Linked DNA regions of Rattus norvegicus. The protein of the gene in region 1 purifies or fractionates together with the protein of each later gene. This does not show direct contact. Links are inferred from orthologs where the notes say so. Each region holds a gene or a part of one and is shown on either strand. Other genes may lie near its edges.

What was found.
Region 2: the proteins of Tacc3 (region 1) and Vasp purify together in Homo sapiens (co-immunoprecipitation; 3 studies listed by BioGRID and IntAct, with this or other methods). This does not show direct contact. The link is inferred for Rattus norvegicus from reciprocal best matches to the Homo sapiens genes TACC3 and VASP.

What each region holds. Positions count from the first base shown.
Region 1 is NC_086032.1:81,279,652-81,283,466, forward strand, and holds part of Tacc3 (transforming acidic coiled-coil-containing protein 3), read right to left. Parts: intron 3,553-3,815; coding exon 3,471-3,552; intron 3,112-3,470; coding exon 2,667-3,111; intron 1,507-2,666; exon of another isoform or gene 1,378-1,506; intron 1,187-1,377; coding exon 1,134-1,186; intron 824-1,133; coding exon 714-823; intron 1-713. UniProt on the Homo sapiens protein: Plays a role in the microtubule-dependent coupling of the nucleus and the centrosome. Involved in the processes that regulate centrosome-mediated interkinetic nuclear migration (INM) of neural progenitors.
Region 2 is NC_086019.1:88,039,946-88,042,972, forward strand, and holds part of Vasp (vasodilator-stimulated phosphoprotein), read right to left. Parts: intron 2,759-3,027; coding exon 2,721-2,758; intron 2,609-2,720; coding exon 2,367-2,608; intron 2,224-2,366; coding exon of another isoform or gene 2,221-2,223; coding exon 2,123-2,220; intron 856-2,122; coding exon 804-855; intron 646-803; coding exon 609-645; intron 384-608; coding exon 338-383; intron 238-337; coding exon 147-237; intron 1-146. UniProt on the Homo sapiens protein: Ena/VASP proteins are actin-associated proteins involved in a range of processes dependent on cytoskeleton remodeling and cell polarity such as axon guidance, lamellipodial and filopodial dynamics, platelet activation and cell migration.

The DNA.
Region 1 (3,815 bases):
CCTCTGCCACCTGCCCCTCACTGTCCCTGTGAGGCAATGCCGTGCTTCCCTGGCTCATAGCAAGCTGTGCAGACAGTGCAGATGCCCTACTGCGGAGTCCTCAGAATGTACAGGGTTAATACCTAGTTAGAGGGGACAAATCTTTCCTTCCCTGGGCTCAAGGGTCTTGTGTTAGATTTAGCACATAATTCTCAGTAATATTTGATTATATTTTCTTCTAAAGTACTAGTTATCAGCCTGGGTTTTCCACAGATGTCAGATTTGAAGGCCCTATGGTTTCTGTCACAACAATTCGGATCTACCTTTTTTTTCCCCCCCCAGAGCTGAGGACCCAACCCAGGACCTGCTCTACCACTGAGCTAAATCCCCAACCCCCGGATCTGCCTTTATAATACAAGTCGTCATAGACGATGCATGAAGGAACAGGCCTTTGAAGTCCACTCATACAAACAGACTGTCTGGCCTGGCCCAGGCTCGTGCCCTCCTGTGCAATCATTGCTTGTGTGGCTGTGTGAAGAGCATGGCAGAGTACCTTACTAAAACACGGACTACCTGATCGATGAGGCTGGCTCTAGGCTCAGAGTCCTGTTTGTCTATTACCATCACTCATTTTAGCTGAGATTAGCCTTTTCCCACAAGTTTTCAATCAGTACATTTAGTAACAGCCACTAGATTCCTTGGCTCATGCTAACAGCTTCAAAGGAGGAACATACCTATTTGTCACTGGGGCCACTGGCACTGGCATTGACCGCAAAGGGCTCTCTTTCAGAAGGGGGTCAAATTTCAAGTACAAAGACTGCTTCCTCCAGGCTGACTCCTTGAACTGAGAGTTGGAGATGGGACAAGGAAAAGTAACAGGATTCATCATTGATTTAACAGATACCAGAAGCCAGGATGACCTTGTTGAGCAAAGTGGGCTGGGGAGACCACAACACACCCCGATAGGTCCAGGATTATCTGGGAGTGAGGGGACACCTGGGTCAGGACACTGTTGTAAGGCAAGGGCTCTTACATGCAGCCTTGACCAGACACAGTACAGGAACTAAAGGATGCTCCAGGAGCCAAGGATAAGTGGCCTAGGCTGACTGATTTACACATTGCAGTCGAGGCTGTCATAACGGGCAAGTACCTACCGAGGAAGTTCCAAATTGCTCCAGATAATCCACTTCAGCACCAGCACCTAGAACTGAAACAATGAGTGGTATTAGCCATTCCCCCAAGTACCGCAGGTTCTGAGGGCCACATGCCCAAAGTATTCAACAGAGTGGGATCACTGTTCTTTGAAATAAATTCCGAGATTGGTTCCAGCACCCAAACTAGCAGCTTCTCTGCTTCTATGAAGAAAGCCCTAGGTGAGCCCCCAATTGTTTTTTTGTTTGCTGTCTTGTAGTTCCTTCCCACAGACCTAACGAATAGTCATGAGTCAAGTAAAACCACAAGTTACTATACGAGGCGTTTCCAACGATGTGTGGCTACCAGAGAAGCCCCATCGGGATAGACCTCAAAAGGAGCCCCCAATTTTATACAGGAAGAAAAAGTACTTTCTTTCCCTTTTCGTATTCAATAAAGACACTTAAAAATTCTACCCAACGTTGACTGAATGAGAAGATGTGAAATCCATGGATAAAGACCCGACTTTTTCATTCTGGGGACTGACTGGCTCTCTAGTCTGGCTGGCCTTGAACTCTCAAGAGGACCCTGAATTTCTTTTTGTGTTTTTTTGAGACAGAATTTCTTTGTGAAACCCTGGCTGTCTGGAACTCACTGTGTAGACCAGACTGGCCTTGAACTCACAGAGATCTGCCTACCTGTGCTGGAATTAAAGCCTGTGTCACCACTAGCAGGCTGGCCATAGTGTTTCATCACAGCAATAGCAACCCTAAGACACTGCCCCATCTTTTAAGGACCAAAAGCTGATTCTCCCACCTTCCCCTTCTAGAGACAGGGTTTCTCTGTGTGACAGCCGGGGCTTGGAATTGGCTTTGTAGACCAGGCTGGCCCCAAACTCAAGAGATCCTTCTGCATCTGCCTACCCAATGCTGGGATTAAAGGTGTCACCATGCTTGGCTGGGAGCAAAAGTTTGTCAGGGAAAAGCCTGTGGAATAACTGCCTGGAACCTGCAGGTACGTAAGTGTCCACAGGGACTTTCAGAGAAACCTATGGTGACACCTTGGGGCCACAGTGTAGGCATAATGCTATTGTAATCTGTAAAGATTATCCTTGATCCTTTATTCAAGTGCTGACGAACCTCCCTCTCCCCCCCCCATATTTGGCTGCAATCTGGACAAGACACTGTAATGATCATTTTAAGTATCTCCTGCCTGAATTTTGTGTAAATATTGCTCCCCACTTACTCTCAGACTTGTCAATAAAAGCTGATCGGCTAATAGGGTTGAACTTCCAAGACCGAGGATTGGGGGAGGGAGTGAAAGAGGGACTAGATTCCACAGGCGAAAAAGAGACACCAAGGGGCCAGACTGATACTAAAATGCAAGTGTTTTGGCTGGGAAGTAGCCAGATTAGTTTAGAGTAATAAAACAGATTAATAACTGCTCAGCTACTGTACTATAAAGCTTATAAATCTTATAGTCTGTTTCATTTATTTGAGAGCTAGCCAGTACAGAGAAAAGATTATCACTTTTAAAAATGCATTTATGCCACATACCTTCTGCTGGGTCTCTAAAGCTCTCTTCCTTTGGGTCCAAGAGAGGTTCTGGTCCCTGATGGGAAGACTCTGGCACTGGTTCAACAGGAAGGGTCACTGGCTCACTGTCCAAGAGAGGTTCTGGTCCCTGATGGGAAGACTCTGGCACTGGTTCAACAGGAAGGGTCACTGGCTCACTGTCCAAGAGAGGCTCTGATCCCTGAGGGGTAGGTTCCAGTACTGGCTTGACTGGAGGGGTCACCGGCTCACTGTCCAAGAGAGGCTCTGGCCCCTGAGGAGTAGGTTCCAGCACTGGCTTGACTGGAGGGGTCACTGGCTCGCTGTCCAAGAGAGGCTCTGGCCCCTGAGGGGAAGGCTCCGGCATCGGCTCGATTGGAGGGGTTACCAGCTCACCGTCTGGAAAACTTGTGAAAGCTGAAGGGCTCAAGGAATTCAAAATTCCCTCCTGGAGAGAAAGTCAGCATCACCTTGTAGTGAGGTTCTGGGTGAGGGAGAGCCCCGCTCACTCTTTCCTTAAAGTAAACCCAGACAGGGAGGCAGCTTTAGGGGATGGGAGATAGTGTTGTATCCCACCCTGTTCATAGAAGAGAGCTGGTAGCCTCTTCTACTATGTTATTTTTCTGAGACAAGGTCTCACTCTGAAGCCCTGCTTGTCCTGGAACTCACTATGTTGACTGGGCTGGCCTAGAACTCAGAATCTGCCTGCCTCTGGGCTCCATGTGCTGGGATTAAAAGTATGCACCACTGTACCTCAATGCTGTTCCTCTGCTATGCAGTGTATAATAGTGTTGACAGCACACATACCTGTAACTCGTCCTCTGCTTTCAGGATCTCGGCTGCCATCTGAACCACAGGTACATCGTCCACTGGGGCTACCGGCAGCTGGCTGGAGAGACAGGGTCATCAGAGCTGGGCCTTCCCCATGTTCCTGATCCTGCACTGAACTATTATTTACCTCCCTCCTACGCTGATCACGTGAAAACTGCTCATGCTAAAAAGTACATGAAAATTATGAGGAGGTTTCTCTGGAGGTAACAGTTTATCTGGCTGCTGGAAAGCTAGTTTCAGGTCACAGCTGCCTCTGGAGTACCCAAGGACAGTGGCTTGTGGTACCAACCAGTTTTCACCTGATTGGTAGCCTATGCTTTC
Region 2 (3,027 bases), on another chromosome or scaffold:
TTAGAGCTACTGGAAAAGTGTGGGTGTCTGTCACCCTTGGACCCCACCCACCAACTCCTTTTCTCGGGCTAGAAGAGGTTTCTGAGCCTTTCCTACAACCATTCTGGAGTCAGGGCTGTCTCTCCTGACATTTTTCCCCAAGCTACCTGCTTCACCCTCTCCAAGTCGGAGTCATCACTGGAGCTGGGCACAGAGGGGTGGGCCTCGGAGGTAGTCACAGAAGAGGATGACTTCATCCTGGAAGAGTCGGACAGGAGTGAGGTAGGGTGGTAGGTTGCCTCCCTCTTTTCCTATCCCGGGGCTATATTATGTTCCTCCCCAACAGCCATGACCCTACCTTGGCAAGGTTGTGCTGTTCTTCTCCCAGGGTCTTCGCACAGGTTCTGGGAGGGTGGTGGGGCAACAAATAAAGATCAGAGACAAGCATTGCCATCACAGTACCATACCACCACCACTTAGCACTCAACCCACTAGGTCAAAGAATTTTAGAAAACTATAAAACTGAGTACTGTTTTCACAGATTTCCCCCTGTAGTGCTTGCAAAGCCAAGAACAATGCATCATGGGATTTGTAGTTTCTATGTATAGACAGGGCTGTCTGTCACTCACCACTTTGGGCAGGGATTCGGGCCTCTGACTCCTCCTGCTGGCGGTAAATAGAAGTATCATAAACGGACCCTTTTATGCCCATGTTCCTCTTCCAGGTCCAAAGCCAGCTCAACCCTGCCACATCACACCTCCTCCCTGCCCTAGGGCACCAGCGTACATCATAAGGAATATAGAGCAGGAAGAACCCGTACTTACACTGGCTGACTCGTCTTTGGGGGGCTTCTCCCCAACCTGTGTGGCTTTCCTTCTGCAGAGGGGCAAGCAAGGGCAAGCTACAGTTCACGCCCCACACTCAATAGGACCCCTTCCCACTGCTAAATTCCAGGATTGTTTGAAAAGTTAAAGGGGCCTGCGAGATGGCTCAGCAGCTAGAAGTTCCCGCCGCCAAGCTGAATCCCCTGATCGAACCCCAAGGACCCATGTGAAGGTGAAGTAGAGAACTGAGTCTTGCAGATTATCCTCTAACCTCCACATGGACAAACGCAATGAATAAATAAACGTAATAATACTTTTAAAAATGAGATGCTGGCAGATCTCTGTGAGTTCAAAGCCCCCCTGGTCTACATAATGAGAGACTGTCTCAAAATCAAAACAAAACAAGACAAAACAAAAACCCTCTTGGGAAAGCATGGTCCAAGCCTGCAATCCCAGTATGGGATAGGCAGAGGCAGGAGAGTCATTCTAAGTTCCAGCCTAGCCAGGGCTGATGTTCAGCAGCACCACCCAGTTTAGGGCTGAGATGGTTCAGTAAGGAAGGGTGCTTGCTGTTTTTATTTTTATTTTTAAGATTTATTTATTTATTGTATATAAGTACACTGTCTGTCTTCAGACACACCAGAAGAGGGCATCAGATTCCATTACAGATGGCTGTGAGCCACCATGTGGTTGCTGGGAATTGAACTCAGGACCTCTGGAAGAGCAGTCAGTGCTCTTAACCGCTGAGCCATCTCTCCGGCCCCCAGGTGCTTGCTGTTAAACCTGACATCTTGACTCCAATTCCCAGAACCCACACAGTGGAAGGAGACAAACAACTCTTCCAGGGAGCCATGGGTACACTCGTATATACAACAACAACAACAACAAAAACCCTGAAAATTTAAGGAAAAATCCAGCCTAGAGATTGCGCCTCTAGGATCTGGAGGGGTCCCCCATAATTCCAAGACTGAAAATCACAAGAACTATAAGGGTGAGGAGGCTTCTAGGTCAGCAAGCTGAGAGTCTAAGAACCTAAGCTTCCAGGACGTTCAAGCGGAATCTCCCATGGCTCAAACAGGGAGTGTGAGAGCACTTTCCAGACTGTGAGCCACCTGGGGATGAGTCTCCAGCATGGTGTCCTGGGCATGGCTGTCATCAGACAGCACCGCCAAAGACACAGAGAAGCTGGGTGCAGGTGGAAGTTCAGCCTGGGCTAGACATGAAAAGACAGGAAGGGGAGGGGGCCAATCAGCACTCCAGCAGCCTAACCCTGAAACTGCAGCATGTGGGCGGATGACTTCTAAGGGACTCAGGCTCACCTCCGGGCCAGCATGGCGTTCATCTCTTCCATAAGCCCCCCACCAGTGCCTCGACTATTCTCAGCTTTGGGGGCCAGGGGCCCCCCAGAGGCCTCCTCCTGCTGAAGGAATGAAAAAGGGGGAGAAGGCTTCACAGGTAGGCCAGGTGACCTCCCAGCCCTCTTGTGACACCTATGGGGGACTCTGACCACCTCCCATTGTTCCCTCAGGGCTTCATCCCAGCCACTCCCATCCACTTTCCTACCTTGCTCACTTTCCTGAGTTTGGCTCCAGCAATGGCAGCGGCCAGGCCTGGGGCCCCGGAACCCCCACTACTGGGGCCCTGTGCTGTAGGGAGTGGGGGTGCAGGGGGTGGGGCTACACCTGTTCCATGACCTGCCCCAGATACCCCTGAGGGGGGCAGACCTGGGGGTGGGGGGGGACCCGGAGGAGGGGGAGGTCCTGGAGGTGGAGGTGGGCCCCCAGCTGGGGGAGCAGGTGGGCCTCCTACAGTAAACACAAAGAAGGGTATTGCTGAGAGAGAGGCAGGATATTGTGTCCTGCCTGCCCAACCCTCTCCTCCAGGGAGGTCCCCGTGACCCAGTCACTGAGCCATCACCTGCATTGGAGACCCGGCGCTCCAAATGTTCAGGCTGCCTGTACAGAGGAAAAGAAGCCGCTTCAGTCCCCAAACCAAGCAGAGGGGGAAGGGGGGCGGGGACCACGGGAGGGGACAACCACGACACCACAGGACCAGAAGCCTCTGGCTCCTCTCAGGGGCCTGGGCGCACTCTTTTCAACGATGCAAACGGATGATTCCAAAGTGGCCATGGGTTCAGAGAGCTGTGGAACCCTAGGGTGGAGTGAGGATGGGGCATGGGGGGGAGGGATTGTGCCAGAATGGTTCATTCCCTCATCAGATTCTT